3 linked regions of the Drosophila melanogaster genome follow. The protein of the gene in region 3 interacts with the protein of the main gene of each other region in a pairwise test. Each region holds a gene or a part of one and is shown on either strand. Other genes may lie near its edges.

Region 1 (9,763 bases), on a different chromosome or scaffold from region 3:
TAAATATTATGAAAATATGATTCTTAGAGTTGCAGAATGCCTTATCTGTTTGTTTATCCCAGCAATTTGCCCAGTCAGCTGTTATCTTTTGATATTCTGGTGTTTTCTGGATCCAGTTCGAGTTGGTTAGCCAACAGATTTTCAACTTCACACGGCTGTAAAAGCCGATACGCAGTTGGATATCTAAATATCCGGCATAAATACATATACTATATCAGATAGTTTAATGACATGCATTCATAAATGTCATCTGTTTGATTTAGTGGCCCTGCCATGGTTTTTGGGGCAAATGAATGGCTGTATAATGTGCATGTGATGTCCATTTGACTTATGTACATATGTACATTACTCAGATATGATTGTGATTTCGATGCATTGGTGCTGATTCGTGTGTAAGGCTAGATTTGCCCGTCTCGGTTATATCACCATTGTTGTGCAATTCCTTTCGCCAATGCCAATCGAATACTGCATCTCTTCCTACCCATGGAAATTCCCCATCTGCCTGCTTGTTTTCTCCATTGTCAGCATAAACAACACACTCGGTGCATCAACAGAACAACAACCCAACCTAATTGTCGGGCAATATACATTGTATGTACATCATATGTAGATCTAGTGTTGGAATTTGAGAAACACTTGATGCCGATTTCATTTCATTTCGCTTTCTACGCACACAACATATTTTATAGATGTAAATCTTTAGAACCAGACACTTTTTTGGATAATATTCCATTAACCATCTTTTCATCTTTTCCCTATATACATAATAAGTGAAACTTTTGCTGCAGGAATTATTAATATTAGTACCCAATAATAGCAGTATATTCTAAGCAGGGTCCCTACATCATTTTGTTATTGTTTTCCTTTTTTTCCGCTTCTTGGTTTTCTCTGGTTCTTTTACAAAAAATTTCTGTTTTTCCCCACGTTTCGATCTTTTTTTATTCGCTGATTTACGAATCACTTGAAGACGAAAAACAGGCGGTTTGAAAATAAGGTGAGGGGGAGGGGGGCAAGGGAATGGGTGGGGAAACTTTTGTGTTTCTATGTTTATGCGAGGCAACAGGTTTTTATTGGAATTAACCCCCTGCAGCCCCACTGTCCCACCATTTTTTTTTTTTGTTTTTCATTGTTTTAGTGTTTTTGCGTTTTTGAGCTGTGCGCGAGTTACCACCCCACCCCCTAAACCCCCACGCCTCTAAACAAATCATCGGACACTCAACCGGGAAGACGGCAACTGGAACACCGCATCCGGCCGAATGCTGACATTCCGGCCGAATGCTGACATTACACAAAAGTCGCACTGCAACATTGTCCCCAGCTAGCCAGCCACATGCCGAGTCGGCATGTTCATTATGCTTACAATTAAGAACCTATGTACTTATGTATAAGACGAAAACGGAGGACTCGAGTAGCCACTCTCTGACAATAAACTTCATACTGATTTTGAACTTCAAGAAAGTCAGTCGTATTCTTTATTGGAAATCTTCACACTACAACTATCTGCTGAAACTTAAAAACCTTCATACATTTACACATCATATCTTCACAAAAGGCTCCACCCTCGATCACGGACTTAACTGGCGCAGCCGGTAGGATGTCCTACCTATTAATAATTACCTACCTGTTCACCCTTGTGCCAACTCAGGCTATCCATGTCCATTATTTAAATGATAACGCCCCTATAGCCAAGATAGAACTAGGGAAAGCCTTACTAATTGAGAGGTACAAAATAATTAGTCATGTAATCAACCTACAAGACTACAGCAGATGTATGGAACAATTCCATCTGACCATTAATAAATTTAACCCCGATTCCACGTTGACGGACTCCGTCACAATTTTAAAAACCAAATTAACCCAAGCCCAAGTAAAGCTCAAAGCCCTTACACCTTCATATAGAAACAAACGGGGTTTGATTAACGGATTGGGGAGTCTAGTAAAGGTGGTTACCGGCAACATGGATGCCAACGACAATAAAGAAATACATGAAGAACTTGACAATATAAAGAAAAATTCCGAAGTCAGTAACGACAATCTCCAAAAACAAGTAATGTTTAACAACGAAATACTTATCCGGTTCGAAAATATCACGGACCATATAAATAATGAACAAATTTTGATAAGTAAATTCTTTGATACCTCACAAAACAAAATATACAAACACTTAAACTTACAAGATACCCTTCTGGAAGAAATACAATATTTAAATAGGATTAATTATAACATAGAATTATTCATTAACCACCTAAACGACATAACAGAAAGTATGCTATTGGCGAAAATAAATATAATTCCCAAGTTCATCCTAAATGAACAAGAAATGGATAAAATAAAAACAATACTGGAAAAACAAAATATCACAGTCAAAAATGAACAAAGTATATACAATTTCCTACAAATGAATACACTAAATTACGAACAAAAGATTATTTTTAATATCAAAGTCCCAATTTTTAAACAACCTTTTCATACCCTCGCCAGACTAGTTCCATTACCAATAAATAACACATATTTTGTAATAACCCCAAATTACCTAGCTTATAATATTAATAATAAGAAATTTCATATGACCCGTAAATGCCCCAAACTGGATAATACATTCTTGTGCGACGAGAACTTCTACGTTGATACACCACAGAACAACACATGCCTGGAACACCTTTTGAACGGAGAAAACAGTTCCTGCGATGTACGGGAAACCGGCCCCATCACCGACGTGTTCGAGGCAGAGAGAGGTTACATCTTCGCATTCAACGTGAACAAACTGAAGGTATCCCTAACAAACGGCTCCGAGCTCTCAATAATGGGGTCAGCCATCATCAGATACATTAACGAAACAATACAGATTAACGGTATCGATTACGACGGCACGGTTGACACGTTCCCTGAACAGACGGATTTTGATCTTCCCCCCATGCGAAAAGTAACTAGGAATACCACTATTACGGTACTAAGCCTAGAAAAACTGCACCTCGAAGCCACCCAAACAATGGATAAAATCCTGGCCGTCCATCACAATACTATACAGCACACCTGGACACTCTACACTCTGCTCGGATTGGTAACGTTCCTAGCAGTCATCTTATGGCTGCACCGACGAACGAAACACATCGTCCACATCCACGAGGATCATCACGTACCAATCTACGCGTCATCCATACCTTCGCTATGGCCGTCACTTCGAACTGGGGGGGGAGGAGTTACCACCCCACCCCCTAAACCCCCACGCCTCTAAACAAATCATCGGACACTCAACCGGGAAGACGGCAACTGGAACACCGCATCCGGCCGAATGCTGACATTCCGGCCGAATGCTGACATTACACAAAAGTCGCACTGCAACATTGTCCCCAGCTAGCCAGCCACATGCCGAGTCGGCATGTTCATTATGCTTACAATTAAGAACCTATGTACTTATGTATAAGACGAAAACGGAGGACTCGAGTAGCCACTCTCTGACAATAAACTTCATACTGATTTTGAACTTCAAGAAAGTCAGTCGTATTCTTTATTGGAAATCTTCACACTACAACTATCTGCTGAAACTTAAAAACCTTCATACATTTACACATCATATCTTCACAAAAGGCTCCACCCTCGATCACGGACTTAACTCGCGTGCCGCATTCAACGTGATGCTGAATTGAACATTTATTGAACAATTTCCAGTTCGTTCCTCTTATAAGCGCGATACAATGACGCCAGCAATGTGTGTGTTGTGCTGATTAACCCCTGGTTACCCCGTTCCCGCCACCAAGCACAGAGTAATTTGATTACGTGGTTTCAGTTTTTGCGGTTGGTCAGTTCAGTGATTATCTAATTGAAGAGTGTAACAGTGAGAATTTTTCTATTATGAATTTGCATTACTCAATGCTTTGATTACCCTTTGACCGATAACAATTTGTTTCAGTTTTTTGTATAGCATAATGAAAAATATGAATGGAAAAGTTGAAGGATCAAGGAGTTCTCATGAAAATGTTCCAACAACAAGTACAGTTGCCCCCTGCGTTGATAGTCGTTGTTTACGTTTCGCGTGTTTTAATCTTTTGGCAGCCCCCATTGTTTACCCCGATCTGTTGTTTAGCCCAAGATCAAGGTGATGTTGCCTAACCCGAATTCCATTGACGTCACCGCATCTGGCCCAGAGGACCAACTAGCGGGGCTTATCCTGATGCCAGGGGTCAGGGGTGAGTTGACATTCGTTTTTATTTATTCACTGTTTTTTTTTGTTTGTTAGCGTGGCCGACAACTGTCAACGGGAATTAGCGACAAACTGACGACAGCAAAACGGACGCAAAGTGGAAAACGAGATAAGCGCACTTAAGTGTAACCAACGAGGATAATACATAACGTACGAGTCGTGAGTAAAGAATCCTTTAAGCTGTACCGTGCAATAACTAGTCAATTAAATACGATTTACATAGAATATGCATTCTATGAGCATATTTATAAAAAAAAAGTATTTTATATTAATATAAAATACATAAATATGTGCACATTTGCTCAAATGTTATGTTTCTTGTGTTTCTTGAGCTCGCTTCTCTGCTTAATCTTTTCCAGACTAAGATTAATCATTTCAATAAGAAAAGCCACAGTCACGCGCCTCTTTTCTTTTCTTGTTCCCTCCATCGAAATTAATGTGACTCAATCAGGAATCGAATTAATGTTCTCAATTGAACAAACCGGCCAAGAACGAACAAAATAAAAACGCCCATCTGCATTGTCAGTGGAAAATTCCCAAAATCTCGCTAGAAAGGGACGGCGAAAGAGAGCAAGGATTACGGGGGGCGTTGCAGGGGGTGTGGCCGGTGGCAAAGGGCACAGCTTTCGCTCTGCTCATCGATTAAACAACGCGAATGAGCAGGGCGAGGAGAAGGACGCGAAAAGGACCCGTTATCCTGACCTAGTCAAAGTTCGCCTCTCTCGCGCTCTCTCGAGCGCAGTGACATTTACTCTACGCCCTGCTCTCGCTCTCTCTCTCCCTCTCTCTCGCCATATGCGTAGAGTGGGTGGCCAGGAAGGGGGCTTCCCTACCCAGCCCTTTTGCAAAGTTCAAGCCCATCACAGTTATTTAATTATTGCATGTCAAAAGTGCATGTTTTAGTATGAGCTTCATTTACCTGTGCATTCATTTGATTATCCACTATAAATTGACAAAAAGTTGTGTAACTAAATGAATTTAGCAAGCTTTTTGGTTTTACAGTGTAAAATCGACCAGTGCATTAGTTTAAAAAGGTCAAAACACCACTGATTGCCGATCGTGTGGGACGGGCCGTCTTGTGTGGAACATAAATTTTGTATGACTATATTGCAGCTTTTGCAGCCGATAAGAACTGTAGATAAGCCGCTGAATGGGATCCTCTATAAAAAGTAGAGATGCCTAAGCATACGCTCACTCACTGTGCTATTTAAAGGCAGACGAGCACGTCTTTAAAAACGTCTTTTTAAAAAAAAATAATAAATACTTATACCACATCATCGCTTGAAAGTGAGTAAATAAGTTCTGAAGTTCCGCATGTATGGATACAATACACCCCATAAGAAACTGTTTCAACCACTCCCATGCCAATCCTGTTATCCGGTTTCCTCTCTCTTCTAAATTCTTACCCCATCATCCCCACCACTTTTCCACTCTCCTTCTCGCGTTTTTTTTTTCGATTTTTTGAAACGTGTGAGCCAGCACGTAGCCAAAAATTCTGAACCGGGGGGGAAAATGTAAGCCGGCTTTGGTCCCGTGACCCCTGCGACTTGCCTTTTGGCCCGTGTCAAGGACATTCACCCGTATCCAGCCTTCGATTAGCGACATTTATCGATTTCCGTCCTGCTTCAATTTCCATTGGACACTTTCCGGCGTTTTCATTGTTTGCCATTACAGTCAAAGTGCAGGTTTTGAGTGCAAATATAATTGCCCAGGTGAAAATGAATATTACAACGTTTTGGCCTTGGCTTCAACGCGGGGTCAGTGATCCCCTCCCCCCACTTGTTAGCCCCTCTTGACCGCACACCAGACTTGTTGTTGTCTCGCTTACACATAAAAAACAGCGCTTACATGTTTACAACTATTTTTACAAATGGAAATTTTGTCAATCTGTCTTAACTTCTTGGTAAATAGTAGATATATTCATAATAAATGAAATAGTCTACATTTTAGGCCAACATAGTTTTCTTGCTGTGCACTTAATCGCCTTGTCTATTTAAGCGATTTGAAAACAAAAACGTGCTACGAATTGGAATGCGAAAGGAGAGGTAGAGAGACGAAGCGAAAGAGAAGAAGAAGACCGCAGAAGGCATCGAAGCGAGCGCGGCTTAAGAACGTGTGAGCAAAACAAACGGGCCGAGGGAAAAGAGAAAAAAAAAACGTTTCAAGTGAAAGTCGAACACAAAAACAGAAAAGGAGAAGGCGAACAGAGAAAATTGGTAAAAAATGAAATTGAAGCCAAGCCAAGTTGCTCTTCTCTTTGGTATGTTGGCCACAACAACAAATACAACCAACGACTGCGACGCCGACTGAGAGCCGCTGTAACCAATTAGGGTGGTCCTTAATAGGCTTGTTGAGAAAATACCCGACACCTTTATATTAAGAGAATATTACATTACTCATACGACCCGTAGCCCCTTCTTAAATAATATCTATAAAAATTAAATCATAATAACATGTAAAACAATACATTTCGAAACCATAAAGCAGTTAAGACTCTGTAAAAGTATGCAAACTGATTATAAAAAATGTTTGGCAACACTGCGTATGAGTGATTACTAATACGCATAGGTTCCCCATTCCACTTAGCACCCCTTTCTAAATAAATTCCGTTTTGTGATATTTATTATCATCGTCCAAGCAACAAAATATGTAATTTAGCTACACAAAGATGGCAAACAGGTCCACCCTAGTACATATCCAACCGCGGCAGAGGCAGCATGTTAATAACAGACGCCTCGGAATAATTTTATTTCAGGTTATTTCTGACGCGTTAACACGGCTCGGAACCGCTGGATATCGAAGTCAGGCGCTGAGCAATTGGACTCCACGGCAGTCAGTTGCCCAAGATCGCGCGAGAGGCTTAGACACACGGAGGGAGTAGCCCAGTAACTAGACTTTCATATCACCCGTACTAACTGATAGAGCAAATATAGTCGGCCGCCCATGGGAAATGAGCGAAATTGCCACCTGACTGACATCCCCCTAAAAAGTTGTTAGTTGTTATTACAGCATTCCAAAAAAACATATCTTTTCATACGGGTAAGTCTTTGGTGGGCTAATCGTTAAATCGTTTTTTTTTTTCAGTGCTATGTACAAAAATCGAATTGAATTTCCATTTTGATAAATCAATAACTTATTTGGCTGAAGGAAAAAGTTCAGGTGTTAATTCCATTTGCCATAGAGAAAGTTCTTTGGCTCGAAATTTGACCGACTTACACACATTCCCTTAATTCAATTATATTTGAATAATTGATATTGTTTTAGGTTTCTATAAAAACTATGAGCAGCTTAATGTTAATAAAATTAAATTAATTCTCGCACACTTATCATTCCCATGCATAAACGATCATTCGAAGTGAATACAAGCTAGCTTAGAATAGTTTATGAATTTTTAATTCGGTCTGTAAAACAATTACTCGTTAAGTTTCCAATACCAACCGGTATCCAAAGTCTAAGCGCTCAATTTGATTGAGCCATTTTTGCATTGTCATGGTGTGACAGCAACGAACGAATTAAGTGAATTACGAGAAACCAGTTGTTTAGTTGCTCAGGTGCAAAACCACCCGAGATTTCGGGGTCAGGGGGGCCTTTAACTTGCTAACTCACCTAACCGACCCCTCCACGTCCCTCCCCGCCGGTGGTGACCGTCGCCTCTTGACTTATTTCTTTTGTACCCTACCCCTTTTCCGCTTTTAATGGGTTAACTTACAACTTTCTTTTCCTCCCTCTCTCTCTCTTTCTCTCTTACTCTCTTTTAGAATTCGACTAAAGCGGAAGAGAACACTGACGGGGGAAACCAGAGATTGTGTATCGAATCCATCGCTTAGCCAGCTATGTCGGAGGCTGCCACGCCCCCAGGATCAGTGCCAGGAACAGTATTCCCACCTGGCTTCGATCCCACTGCCGAATCGGTGGAGAAGACTCTCTGCTTCCGGGGTTTCTGGGCCTGGGCCGTGCTGATATTCCTGATTGTTCTGGGCATATTGCTCTTCATGTGGCTGCTGCGCAAGTGCATCCAAGGACCGGCCTACCGGAAGGCCAATCGCATCGATGGCAAGGTGGTCATCGTCACCGGCTGCAACACGGGCATTGGCAAGGAGACGGTCCTCGAGTTGGCCAAGCGGGGTGCCCGCGTCTACATGGCCTGTCGGGATCCCGGTCGGTGTGAGGCCGCACGACTGGATATCATGGATCGCAGTCGCAACCAGCAGCTCTTCAATCGCACCCTGGATCTGGGCTCCCTGCAGTCGGTGAGAAATTTCGTGGAGCGCTTCAAGGCGGAGGAATCCCGGCTGGATATACTGATCAATAATGCCGGCGTTATGGCCTGTCCCAGGACCCTCACAGCCGATGGCTTTGAGCAGCAGTTCGGTGTCAATCATCTGGGACACTTTTTGCTCACGAATCTGCTGCTGGATCGACTGAAGCACAGCTCGCCCAGTCGCATTGTGGTGGTCAGTTCGGCGGCACATCTCTTTGGGCGAATCAACCGCGAGGATCTGATGAGCGAGAAGAACTACAGCAAGTTCTTTGGGGCGTACAGTCAGTCCAAGCTGGCCAACATCCTGTTTACCCTCAAGCTGAGCACCATCCTTAAGGACACCGGCGTAACGGTGAACTGTTGTCATCCGGGTGTGGTCCGCACCGAGATCAACCGCCACTTTTCCGGTCCCGGCTGGATGAAGACCGCCCTGCAGAAGGGCTCGCTGTACTTCTTTAAGACACCCAAGGCTGGCGCCCAGACCCAGCTGAGATTGGCGCTGGATCCGCAGTTGGAGGGCTCCACTGGTGGCTATTACTCGGACTGCATGCGCTGGCCATTGTTTCCGTGGGTCCGGAATATGCAGACCGCCGACTGGTTGTGGCGAGAGAGCGAGAAGCTGCTGGGTCTGCCACCGCTGGAGCCACCTCCACCTGTCCAGAGCCCCACCCAGAATGGCAATGGCACTCAAAACGGCAATGGTAGTTCCAGTGCCAGTGCCAGTGCCAGTAGTAACAATCCCGCTTCACGGGAAATGCAATCCGTGGAAACGGTCGTGGTCAATCGTTCGTAGTTGTGGTCAGAGTCCTTCATTGGAGTGCAGACCTTGCTCTTAATTTAATTCCCTGTAATATGGCGTGCTTGAGTACCCTTGGAAATACCCAGTGCGGAATGAGGCCGATTCGGGTCTAATTTATAGAGATATATAGTAATATATTTATGTTTGATTTTCACATGAGATTATTGAAAGAATTCGGTTCTTGATATTGTATAATCCACGTTCTATATTAATTAACTATGTTTAAAATTGTTGATTTCCCAGGGTATTTGAGTCTTCGGTCAATCGAAGTTAGCTTTTGCATACTCTCTTGTTTTTTTTTTTGTCGCTCTCGTTCTGTACATAATTTTAAGGAAAAGAAAACCCATTAAAATAAAAGTTAAACCTGACATGCAATCCTGTTTTCGACTCTCCTCTTTCTGTTGCTCTCTCCATTCCTGTCGCCCCCCCCCCCCCCCTACACCATTGCTCTTTCACAGAAACAAAAAGAAAGAGAAAGAACGAAACGATAACAATCAGCATA
Region 2 (6,155 bases), on a different chromosome or scaffold from region 3:
TTGAAGTTTCTTTGTCTTCGAAACTTGATGGCAAATTCCTAGATCGTGGTATAAATTGTTCGTTTTATGAGCTTCTGGACCAGCCTGTATCTCACACAAATCCTGTATTCCAAATTTGTAATTGTTTAATATTCCTATATATTCTTGACCATCTGCGCAGCCACTTTAACTCCGATTCCCGATTGTAATGTTCCAGGATCAGGGATGGGAGGTAACTTCACGCGTGTACCTGGCCCTAAAACAAGGTACCCTTTTCAGTATTTTGTGTTTGCTGAGGTACAACATTTAAAAAATACCGATAATGATAAAAATTAAACTATGTCCCGATTATTCTTCTAAAAATTTAATCTATGCGTTCCATAGAAACTAAACCAAATTATTATTATTATGAAAAATATGAATGAATTGTTTTGGACTTATTCATTGAAGTGTATATAACAAATTAAATATTCCTAATACAACATTGAATATTAAGGTTAAATAGAAAAGTGAAAAGTTGAAAGTGGAAAACGGTAACATCTACTACTATTTTTCCGGGTACCTAGTCATTTCCAGGATCAAAACCATTTAGGTTATCGATACCAAATAAAAACTAATTTTTTTTTGTAACAATTAAGCTTTTATTGGAAGATCTACAGAGTCTTAATTTTAAACTTACGTTCCACCGTTTCGACAAAGTCTATAAAATCCTTGTATAGAACCTTTGGAACCTCTAGAGCGGCAAAGTGCCCGCCCTTTTTGTGGTAAGTGCTGTGCACTAGGTTCGTGTACTTATCCTTCAACTGGACATCCAGGAACTGCATAATGTCGCTCTTGAAACGGGCACATCCAGTTGGCACTCGGGTGGGAACCCGATCCAGGTGCAGGTCCCGCTGTGCCTGGGCATACTGCTCGGCATAGAGACGCTGGGAGGTGGTAATCGAATTGGTCAGGTAGTAGATCATCAGGTTGTCCAGCAGGGCATCCATTTTGTAGCGCTTAGTGAGTCCTCCATCTGGCAGAGATCGGTAGCTGGGATTTGTCCACGTGGAGAACTTCTCCAGAATGTAGGCGGCCAGACCCACTGGGTTATCGGTGAGGGCGGCTCCGATGGTGTCCGGTTTGGTGGCCTGGATGTGGAAGTAGCCACTCTCCTCCATTAGGTATCTCATCTCGTTAGACTTGGGAAAGAAGAAATCTTCAAAGCCAGAGGGCACAAACAAACTGGGCCAAAATTCGGCCACTAAACCCTTAGCCAGCGACTTCGGACTCAAATTGTTGCACATGTTCGAGTGGTAGCCCAGCACGTTTTCCGGATACAAGGTGGCAATGTTGCTGCCAATAATGCTGCCCCAGTCTCCACCCTGGATAAAGAATTTGTTGTATCCCAAACGCAGCATAAGATTCCTCATCATCACCGCCACTTGAGCGGGACCCAGTCCTTTTCTGGAGGTGCCCTGCAGGATAAGAGACAGATAAGCCTATAATACACTACGTAGATTGGACAAAACCCACCTGTGACCAGCCATAACCTGGTAAACTCGGAACCACGACGTTAAAGATGTACTTGTTATTATTGTCCAGATTGGTCTGATGCAGCAAATGTATGAAATCGTAAAACTCCCGCACCGATCCCGGCCATCCGTGGAGCAGCAACACCGGATAGTGTTTCTTACCCACTTTGTTGTCATCATAAACCATCAGGTGGAGGAAGTGTGTGCGTAGCCTAAAACCCCATCGTTACTATCTGTGCATATGATAAGTGGGCACCTTATCTTACCCCTGAATATCGGTGGTGAAGTGATTGAACTGCCAAAGGAACACCTCGCGTTCGCGCCAACGCGGCAGGTAGTCATCGCGCCAGTACTCCACGACCTCCTTAAGGTAATTCGTATTGAATCCGTACTCAAAAGCCACGCCCTCGAGCGGAGGCGTAAGGCGCAGGGTGCGATTGAGACGCTCTTTCAAATCAGCAATGGTCTGCACATGGTATGAGTTAGTATATAGTACATAATAATGGATAGACCCCCACTTACCTTATCCGGATAACTAAGCCTATTGCCTATCACCTCCGAATTGTTCTTCAAATAGGCCTCGTAATCCTTGGGCTGCGCCTCATCGCCCCACCACTCCTGGGGATCCAACTTTGGTGCGGGCAAGTCCGCCCATAGTTGGGTCACATTCCTATAGACCAGCCCACCGGCAATGGCCAGTATCAAGACCAGAATTTTAACAGTGACACCCATCTGTTCCTATCAGCGGTTCCACTCAGACTGTCTCGGATAGCAGCTACGATTCCACTGATTCTACCATATCATCGTGGGCGCAGCTCTCGTTTTCGACGCTCATGATGATAAGCGACTTTGAGTGACCACCCTACGCCGATCAGTTGGGGCTTATCGCGGGTTTACTTTGGACTCGACTCCACTGAGACGGAGTAGCGGCTTTCCACATCGGGGATGACTCGAATGAATCGGCTTGTTTGTTTATTTACTCAACAAAGCTTACATGCCGGTTTTTGGTTTGAAGCTTTTACGGGTAAAGACCGGAGGGGTATGTATGTATGTATGTACTATATGTATAAAGAATGAGACCCGCGAATTGTTTTTGTATATTTTGCGACGCAGCTGGGCTACCAGGTTAGCTAAAAAATACCCCTTATTTTCGAACTACACTGGGGTAGACTGAACATGTGTGAGATCTTTGTTGCCAAGTAAAATTTGATGTTCATTTGGTTTAATATCACTCTACTGTCATTTAGTTAAGTAATAATTCAACATATTACATGATTTCTTATAAAGGGTACACCAATGTCGACTATAGCCCATGGGAATAAGTTACGTAACATCGTTCCGAGCTTAGATATATCATATATGTACATATACTTATGAAAGCAAACACCACACACTGCCCTTTTGCTCGCCACTCGTGTATTCCAAACAAAAAACTCTTCAACTTTCGGTTTTCAAAGCAGATAAGGCAAATACAATCACCAAGTCGATTTGATTTAATTTTTGCAACAAACATAACCGTTTCTTTCAAGAATCACGATGAAAATGTACAATGGACTTCTATAACTAATGATAAACAATTTTGTTTTATGAGAAATTGGCTTTCTGGACAAAAGACACAAAGTCGTCGTACAGCTGCTGGGGCAGCTCAAAAGCGGGAAAGTGACCTCCATCCCGGTGGTGGGTACTGTGCACCAGATTGGGGAACTTGTTGGCCAAAACCGAGTCGGAGAAATGTGTGATCTCATGGGCGAAACGGGTGCAGCCAGCCTTGGCCTTGATGGGCACGGAGTCCACGGCCAGTGCAAACTGCGAGGCAACCATTGATTCGGAATACAGACGCATGGAGGTGGTAATGGAGTTGGTCACATAATAGATCATCACATTGTCCAGAAGCTGATCGTAGGTAAATCTCTTGGTCAGACCACCGTCAGGAAGCGATCTAAATGCCGTATTCGTCCATGTGGAGAACTTCTCCAGAATATAGCTAGCCAGACCAGTTGGATTGTCGATCAAAGCATTGCCGATGGTGTCTGGCTTGGAGGCCTGAATGTGGGCATAGCCCATCTCCTCCATTATGGTGCTAAACAAGTGACCGAGTCCCTTGTAGAAGTCCGCATACTCGCTGTCCACAAACCAGCTGGGGAAAAAGGAGGCCAGCACCATCTTCAACTGACCCATAGGGCTGTTATTTCCGCACATATTAGAATGATAGCCCAGCACGTTTTCCGGAAAAAGTGAGGCTACATTGGATCCAATTATGGAACCCCAATCGCCACCCTGCACCAGAAACTTATCGAATCCCACTCGGAGCATCAGGTTGCGCATCACCACCGCCACTTGCGCCACACCGAATCCAGTTTTTGAAGAGCCCTGGAGTTGGAAAAATATAAAATTAGTCATTTTTCAATTTGTAATTTGGAGAAGGTTGTGTAATAACTTGTCTACCTAAGTGCTATATATTAATGCCATAGTAAGAGATAAGTTCTATGGCTTACGGCTTTTGGAGAATATAGCATTACTTGGTTAGCAATTTATTGTTGTCCCTTTGGAAACAAATCTAACCTGAGACCATCCGTAGCCGGGCAGACTGGGTGCAATAACCTCGAAGACGTAGTCGCTCTTGTCACTGGGCGTGGTCAGGAGAGGGATGAAGTCGTAGAATTCGCGAACGGTTCCCGGCCATCCGTGCATCAGAAGCAGAGGCAGCACCTTCTTGGGCTTTTGGCCTTTCACCTGGCTTGGCTTGGCATGAATAAAATGAATTTTTAAACTGCAAAAAAATGGAAAAACATTTGGGGTTAACTTTTCATGTTAATTTGCAAAAGCAGGCGACTAATTAAGCGTGGAACACTTCGGTTTTCCATAAGTTCTGTCGCACTCACCCCTGAATTTCCGTTTGGTAGTGATCCAGCTTCTTGAGGTACTCCTCCCGTTCGCTCCATTTGGGCAGATATGTATCGCGCCAGTATTTCACCACCTTGGCCAGTTCGTTGGCATTGAATCCGTATTGGAAACCCACACCCTCCAGTGGCGCCTGCGCTTTCAAAGGACGACTCAGCTGACCGATTAGATCCTCAATAACCTTTGATAAGAAGTGATGAAGGATATTAAAAAAATTATATAACTTAAATTAAATTATTAAATCAAATATAACTTTAAATAGTATGAATTTGTACAAATTACCATAAATTCTGTATAATTAATGATACTTGCATACCAGCATGATTCGAAATATTTACATATACTATACATTCATAGCTTTGATTGCATATCATACTGATTTGATATTTTGCATTTGTATATATGCATTTGTGTATGTATATTTATTTACCTCTGGCTTTACGCTGATGTCGAAGGGTAGGATGGCCTTGTTCTCCCGATAAGGTTCCTTCAATGTTGGACCCCAGTAGGCGTTGTTGTCCAGATCGGGTCTCTTGCCGGGCGCCGAGAGATCGCGATAGTTCTTATAGCCAACGGCCACCAGGATGGTCAGAGCTCCGACCAAGATTCGTGGCCAGATGTTCGCCATTGTGTGTTTATGCTATATTCTTTATATATTCTATATACACAGATCGGCGAACTGCGCAACTCCTCGCTTACGATCGTCGAGCACAAATGATTTGTAAAGCGCAAGCTACCGGCAAACAAAAGCTTTTTGTTGGCTTGTGGATTTCAAGTGGATCGTATTCCACACGGCAATGCAATGCGAGCATGATTGGACAAATAATTTGAGAATTTCGGCGAGCTTTTGGCAACAAATTGAGTGAGAGCAATTTTTGTACTTAAAATTTACATTTAGTTTAGGAAGATGATCAAGCAGTTCCATTTATCAATCCACGAAAGTAAAGTGAACAAGAAACGATTCATGCTTAAAATGAAATTGTTATATGACATTTAACTAAATACTGATTTAATTAATTAATAATGATTAAGAACTCGAATTACCAACACGCGGAGCCCTTAATATATACAGAGGTGGTCAAAAGTATTTTCACAACGCACAATATTTGCAAACTTCAACTTCTTTTTGTTATATTTCTTCTTGTTGTTGTCCGATTTGCCTGAAATAGTTCTTATCGCTTAGCTTGATCTATGCAGAAGGTAGTCGAAAAGAAATACGAAAGATAACGGTTCATAGTACAAAGCTTAAAGCAAAAGAAAATATGCATGCAAGTTGTCAATAGTATTTTCACATGTTTATTGCGCTTCAAAAGTATTTTCACTCAACTTAATTTAGTAAATTTCAGCTTAACATCTAATTTCAACATAAGAATTTTTTTTATTTTATATAAATACAATACTAATATTTTGTAACACCACCTTTGGCATCAATAACTGCTTGAAGTCTTTTTGGTATTGACCTTACCAAAGTTTGTGCAAATTCTAATGTCAATTTGGACCAAATCTCCGCTATTACAATGATGGCTCCCTCTCGTTTTCTATTTTTATCAATAGTTCGTTAGTTTTTAATAAAAGCCCAAACGTTTTCAATGATATTAAGGTCTGGGCTTTGGGGGGGCCACGGAAGAACCGCCAGATTAAGGTCGTTTAAAAATTTTGTTGGTATCCTACCCTTATGGCATGGAGCATTGTCCTGCTGAAGAATCCATTCAGTAGTTGGAAAAAGTCTATTTCCAGACGTAAAAGCATGGTTGTTTAAGA
Region 3 (7,099 bases):
TTTGTCGCCTAGCCAGCCACTTGAGTTTGATCCTAACGAGGATCACAGTGGAACTTTTCAAGTGCCCTCCCAGCCGACGGCTACTTACTGACGCCTCGTAGTTTAAATTTCGACCAGACAAAAACAATAGAGATCGTTTTTCATACTATTTAAATTAGATTTAAAACTACGCGTTTTTTTACATATTTATTTAATCTGCAAATCTTTTTTATAAGGCCGTAAATTTATTTATTGTTCCTTTTTACGATCTAATTGAAAATTCAAGTGTTAAAAGTAATACATTTAGAGCTAATTCGTTTTAAGAATTCATTGTTGTATAAAAACTGATAGTAATTAATCATTTATGTGCTTAAATTAATTTATAAATTTGTTCTCATGCTTGCAGAACGATCGCATCACCAAATTGAAGATCGATAACAATCCGTTCGCTAAGGGTTTCCGCGAGTCGGGTCAATCCCGCTGCAAAAGGAAGCTGAACAGCAGCGGAAACTCGACGCTGGAGTCGGAGGATGATGGCTCCAGTGTGAGCAGCTGCGATTCTCCGCAGGCGAAGCGCCAGCGCCAGGATTTTGAGCAGGACTCAACGGGTAGTGTTTCGCCAGCTTACTATGGAGCAACTCATCCAGTTGCCAATCCTATGTCGCCGTATCTCCGCCATCACTTGAGCTATGGACCCAGTGGAGCTGCCGGATTGCCGCCCAGCATTGCAGCTGCCTATTTTGGTGGAGTTCCTCCGCAGATTCTGCCAATGCCACCAGCCACATATGCGCCAACTGTCGCGCCTGTTAGTCCTGTGGCCTCGCAACCCGTTGGCTCCAGCACACCCACAACATCACCAAGGCCTTCAACCTCAACGAAAAGAAATAGCTTCAGCATTTCAGCCATTTTGGCCTATTGAAAGAAATATTTGGTAAACATACTTAAGTTGGAGTCATCTTCTGTTGTGATTAGTGAGAAACGTGTGCATATACTTTGTAAGCTAATCTATGCTACATATAAGATCGTTTAAGAACCAAGCTGCAATCATATACATTGTTAATTCGTTTTAAGAGTCTTTGGTCAAAATAAACAAATCAGACATCGAATCCGTAGAAAATGCAAAACTATTTGCGGGGGGGGGGGGAGCAACGGTAACCTTCAGCGTTTCCGTTTTTACAGGTTTTTGGCCATATCGCAGTGCCTGGGCCAAAAGCAGTTATGCGACCGCTTTGGCGGGCCTAAGACAAATTAATGCTCTCCATTATGGTGACCAGTCGGTTCTCGAGTCACACGTATCTGAAAAACATCCAACTCCGGTAGTAGTTAAAGCAATTCTCCAAAGATAAGGCGTCCATTATGAGCAGCGATTTGACGGCTTTCAGGCTGTTTGGTCTTTGCCGACTCCCAGCTCCCCTGCGATTCCATCCGCATCCCTGGGACACAGAGATGACGCAGAGGTGGGTGCACGGAGAAAAAAAAGTATCACACATTTCAATTCAACTAAGTAAGTTTTGGCTTATGGTATTGCTAATAGAAATGGTTTTTAAAGTAAATTTAAAGAAAGAAAAATTCAACATTCATCTGATCATTTCAAAATCGAAGCACTTTTCTTGCAGTGCACTTGCTGCTGTTGCCGTCTTGTGAAATTTTCGTTTTATCGCACCTTTTATGGCCATTGGCCAGGCCAAAACGAAGTGGGAGCTGGCCAAGAAACCGAAACAGAAACCGATGCCGAGTCGGTTGGAGAGACTTTGGTGTGGTCACTCCTTGTGTGCATTATCGTGTCAAATGCGACAAATCTGTCTGTGGCCCGGCGGCTGCCTTTCAGCTTGCATAATTGAGCTGATAACTCGGCGCTCCGTGGATGTGTGCGGTCCACTTTTGAGCGTTTCCTAAACGGTGGCGCCAAACATTTCGTGTTTAATATTTTTAATTAAGTTTTTAAGTGCATCCAGAAGGAGATGGGACCACAGAGAATTTATCTAGCCAGTCGTTGCGGATAGTTCAAAGGGGCAACGAATCGATTTGGCTTCCATTCATAGAAATCGATGCATATATTATGCATAATGTAAGCCAAATCAGCGCGAAATAATTCACCAGCCACACGAAGCCGCGTTTCAAGCGGCTTTTTGACTAATTTGGGCTTAGTTTTGTATTAGCGCTTTGTGTTTCTCCTCGTCTTCGATTGGATTTGTTGGTGCATAAATTTACATTTGAAATGCTGAAACAATTAAATTATGGGATTTGCACGTTTTCACCCAAAAACAAAAGGGGCCAAAACAACATCAAATCACATTCGTTGTCGGCGTCTGTGCCTCAGAAGTGTTTTTTTTTTTTAATGTTAGGTGTTTTTTTGCTGACTCGCTGCTGGCTTCTTTTTGAAAAAACGGTGGCAAAAAGCGTCAAAATTCGTAGATTATGAGATAAAAATGGAAATCGAAGTCGCTCCGGTATTGCATTTCTAATTTGCGCTTGTTTTAATATACTTAATGAATTTTTATGTGTAGGTTGGTCCAATACTCATGCCCAAATCCAAATCCGGTTTTCGTTCGAAGCTGTTGATAATGATAATGAGGATAACGATGCTTTATTGAGGAGGTGTTGCCGTTCGGATCTGAATTTTATTTGCGCCACATGTTAGCATATTGTTGTTGCCGCTGCCGCTTTTGTTGTTCTTTATTGCTAATTATAATATATTTGATTTGGTATTTAAGCTTTAAGCTATAAAAATGTTCGCATTCTCTGTTTTACGAGCCAACAGCTTGCAAATATTCAATTAAATTGTGCGAACGAGAACAGGTCGAGGTGGATTGTGAAAACTAATCATAATTAACACACCTTTTTCTATAATGTTCTAAGTATTTTATTGAAATAAAAAAAGTCAAAAGGAAATAAAACATAGTTTTTGGTTTTGATGGCTTCTACACCCGTATTAAACATATTATATAATTACATTAGTAATATATATCTTAGAAAGTCTACATTTAAACAGAAGAACTGAGTGTTTTAAAACCAGTATTTGAGCTACCAATTTTCGATGGGTTTTGTATACATTTCTTAAGCATTTCCCTGTATTTTACATATTTTACGCATTATTTTACACATAATATTTTACATTTGCCATGTATTTTACAATGGTTTGGAGCCGTGCTATATGAGTACACTATCAAACAAAATTGTTTCTTAAATGCATTATTGTATTTTTAAAAACCATTAAGTGAATATCATATAACGGTTCTTTAAAAAAGTATCAATGAAAATGATTTCTTTACTTTAGCGCAAAACCATAGTTGTGAAAACAATTTTTAAATCCATGAGGAACTCAAGTATATCAAAATTTACTTTATACTTTATTTATTTCAAATTTACTTGTACATAGATTGAGTCTTTGCTTAGCAATCTCCTTTCCGATATCTATTAAAGTGGAGTTTTCAACCGTCTGTTTTTTGTTCGTACTAAATGGCGTTTTACTAGATTTATTCTAGCCATTTGGTTTAATGTCACTTTCTAACTTAGGGTCAGCCTGGCCGGTGTCATTCCAAATTCAACACCTAAAAATGCTGTTACATTTAAAACTCCGGCTTGAACTTCAATTACTAGGCCGCTGTGCGCAGCTAGTAATCAATCGCCATGCCAGCAAAGGAAATGTGGACAAGGAGGTGATGGAGCAAATGGAGAAGGGCTACAAGAAGTTGGCCGAGTCGAAATCCAAGTCCCTGCTGAAGAAGCATCTCACCAAGGAGATCTTCGAGAAGCTAAAGACGAAGACTACACCCTCGTTCAACTCCACACTGCTGCACTGCATCAGTTCGGGAATGTGCAATCATGACTCCGGCGTTGGGCTCTACGCCCCCGATCCGGAGGCATATAAGGTGTTTGCCGATCTCTTTGATCCCGTCATCGAGGAATACCATAAGTGCTTCAAGAAGACGGACAAACAGCCGGCGACTGCTTTCGGCAAAGGCGCGGATTTTGAAAACCTAGATCCCGATGGCCATTTCATCGTATCCACGCGTGTCCGTTGCGGAAGAGCCGTCAAAGGATACCCCTTCAATCCCTGCTTAACGGAGGCTGACTACATGGAGCTGGAGAGTAAGATTTGTGGGGCAGTGACTAGCCTCACCGGAGAGTACAAGGGTAAATACATGCCATTGACTGGAATGGATAAATGCATACAGGAGCAGCTCATAGAGGATCACTATCTGTTCAAGGAGGGCGATCGATTTCTGGCTTCCGCTGGAGCCTCTCGATATTGGCCAACGGGAAGGGGCATCTTTCTGAATAGCGCCAAGAACTTTCTGGTCTGGTGCAACGAGGAGGACCACATACGCATCATCTCGATGGAGAAGGGTGGCGACCTGGGCAAGGTCTACGATCGCATGGTTGGCGGCGTGGAGGCTCTCGGCAAGCAGCTGCAATTCAACAGGGATGAACGACTTGGCTTTTTAACCTTCTGTCCCACCAATCTGGGCACTTCTATTCGCGCCTCGGTGCACATCAAGCTGCCCAATCTAATGTGTGATCCCGACGAGATGAAAAAGCTGGCCGACAAGTATCGTCTACAAATCAGAGGAACCTCGGGCGAGCACTCAGAGGCCAAGGGCGGAGTGCACGATATATCCAACCAACGCAGGATGGGACTAACCGAATACGAAATCATCAAAGAGATGCACGATGGAATCAAGGGTCTCATAGAAGCCGAGTGTAAGGCAAAGTCAGCTTAGTTGTAAAGCGTGAAGTGTACAAAAGGTTAAAGGCCGTGATGAACTCTAAATAAATAATAAACTAAATATTTGTATACCCTATATGTCCTCTATATCCATTGAATACAAAACATTCATTGAGTTTTAAGTTTTTTTTTTATTTTTTTTTTAATAATTTTAATTCTTTTATAAACTTAAGACTTAAATAAAAGTATTTAAAGTTCCTTTTTTTGTTTTTGCTTGACACAGATGTCAAAATGTTTTACATTGTTTGGTTGTAATTAAGCAAATGTTTTTGTCAAATAGTTATCCGTTGTTGCTGCTGCTGCTGTAGGTGTTGATGGTGTTGCAAGATGGGATCCCTGCCTGCGCCCGCGACCCTCAAAGTATACGAAAATGCCGAAGGTTGCCGGACTGGGACAGCAGCTCCACACCATAGCTACAAACTAGACATATTTGCAGTTCGAACCGCCCAAAAGCGACAAGGCGGACGAGCCGAAGATTTCTAAGTGTTGCTGTTGTTGTTCTTGATTGTTGCGTATGCCCCGAACTGGTGGCACCCGTGGATAGATGTTAACTCCGGAGGCGATGCACCTCCAGCCGGGGGGACGATGCTCGGCGGTTGGCGGGCAATTTACAGGCTCTTCTCGAGCTTGATCAGCTCGGTGATGCCATCGTACATCTCCTTGACGGCCTCGAACTCGGTCAGACCCATGCGACGCTTGTTGGAGATGTCGTAGACACCACCCTCAGCCTCGGTGTGCTCACCGCGGGTTCCGCGCACCTGCAGGTTGTACTTGGCGGCAACCTCCTCCAGCTTGGCCTTGTTGGATGCCAGCTTGGGCACCTTGATGTGCACGGAGGCACGGATGGTGGTGCCCAGGTTGGTGGGGCAGAAGGTCAGGAAACCGAGACGGTCGTCGTGGCTGAATGGCACACGCTTCTCGATTTCGTTGACGGCGGTCACCAGACGCTTGTAGATCTGGCCCAGATCACCACCCTGCTGCATGGAGATGATGCGGAGATGGTCCTCCTCGTTGCACCAGACCAGGAAGGTCTTGGCATCGTTGTGGTAGATGCCACGGCCGCTGGGCCAGAAGCGGCAGGCGTTGGCGGCCTGCAGGAAACGATCGCCCTCCTTGAACAGGAAGTGGTCGTCGATCAGCTGCTGCTGGACGGCCTTCTCCATGCCAGTCAGGGGGTAGAACTTGCCCTTCAGCTCACCTTCCAGACCGGACAGGGTGCTGCTGACCTTGCTTTCCATCTCCTTGTACTGGGCCTCGGTCAAGCAGGGGTTGAAGGGGTATCCCTGCATGGAGCGACCGCAACGCACGCGAGTGGAGATCACGTACTCGTTGGTGGGGTCAACGTTGCCGAAGGTGGACACATCGCCAAAGTTGGAGGCCGGGTGCTTGTCGGTCTTCTTGAAGCCACCATGGTAGTCCTCGATGATGGGATCGAACAGGTCGGCGAACACTGTGTAAGCCTCGGCATCGGGAGCGTAGATGCCGACGCCGGAATCGTGGTTCTCCAGGCCAGACTGGATCACATCCAGCAGGGTCGACTTGAAGGTGGGCGTGACCTTGTTCTTCAGGTTGTCGAAGACCTCCTTGGTCAGGTACTTCTTCAACAGCGACTTGGAGTCGGAGGCAGCCAACTTGGCATAACCCTCCTCCAGTTTAGCGAGAACAGCGGCATCAACCATGGTGTCTTGTTTGCTGCAAAAATACGTAGAGAGAAGGAGAGAATGGGGTATTGACCATTAGTAAAAGGGCGTGGCTGGGGCGACAGTACAACATTTTATTGCTACAAAGGACTCGCCTATCTTCATTTTGTGGCGCCCAAAAGTCGGCAACATGTTTTCTTGTGTTTCTGTTTTCCTCAATTCCTGCCTGTTTGCCCCGCAATTAGTTTCGGGTTATGGCCATGTGCTCATACTCGACTTGGGTCTGTGGCACGCGACTGCCACATATACCCACGCTCCCTTTCCCCTTCAGCTCGCTACACCCAGAAAGCAGTACCCAGAACCGAACACCCATCACCCTTGATCCCACAACGCCCCTTTTTTAGTGGTGGTGACTCTGGTTTTGTTTCTCGATTGTGTCCTGCTTTCGGTGGTGGCTGACTGACTATAAAATTTTGCCGGCTGCCGCTGAATACGCAAATCGACGGCACACTATACACCCACCACCGCCCTCTGCCTTCCTCCTGTCGAAGGACATGCGCACTACAACAACATGGCTACCCAGCCGAAGTCCTGGACAAAACGAAGGACCAGGGCAATAATAATTTTTTTATGGCACTTTATTTTTGGCCGCTTTTTCGACAGAGCAGCGTTCATGCACTTACACACACACACACATGACGTCAGCCCCCTTCGGTCGGTCGGTCACCCAACCAGGGGATATACAGACAAC

The links. Proteins that work in one complex are often made in the same cells at the same time.
Region 1: the proteins of Argk2 (region 3) and CG3842 interact in a two-hybrid assay, tested with the Drosophila melanogaster proteins (one large-scale study listed by BioGRID).
Region 2: the proteins of Argk2 (region 3) and Jheh1 interact in a two-hybrid assay, tested with the Drosophila melanogaster proteins (one large-scale study listed by BioGRID).

Annotation. Positions count from the first base shown.
Region 1 is NC_004354.4:6,334,104-6,343,866, forward strand, and holds CG3842 (uncharacterized protein), read left to right. Parts: upstream 1-3,658; 5' UTR 3,659-4,360; intron 4,361-5,392; exon of another isoform or gene 5,393-5,488; intron 5,489-6,956; 5' UTR 6,957-7,240; intron 7,241-7,959; 5' UTR 7,960-8,034; coding exon 8,035-9,255; 3' UTR 9,256-9,628; downstream 9,629-9,763.
Region 2 is NT_033778.4:18,852,829-18,858,983, forward strand, and holds Jheh1 (juvenile hormone epoxide hydrolase 1), read right to left. Parts: upstream 2,260-6,155; 5' UTR 2,226-2,259; coding exon 2,016-2,225; exon of another isoform or gene 1,960-2,015; coding exon 1,760-1,959; exon of another isoform or gene 1,706-1,759; coding exon 1,495-1,705; exon of another isoform or gene 1,437-1,494; coding exon 633-1,436; 3' UTR 606-632; downstream 1-605. Other genes in the region: Jheh2 (juvenile hormone epoxide hydrolase 2), read right to left, coding at 3,078-3,863, 4,056-4,263, 4,376-4,575, 4,825-5,022.
Region 3 is NT_037436.4:9,043,960-9,051,058, forward strand, and holds Argk2 (arginine kinase 2), read left to right. Parts: upstream 1-3,479; 5' UTR 3,480-3,536; coding exon 3,537-4,703; 3' UTR 4,704-4,765; downstream 4,766-7,099. Other genes in the region: Doc1 (Dorsocross1), read left to right, coding at 386-898; Argk1 (arginine kinase 1), read right to left, coding at 5,317-6,400.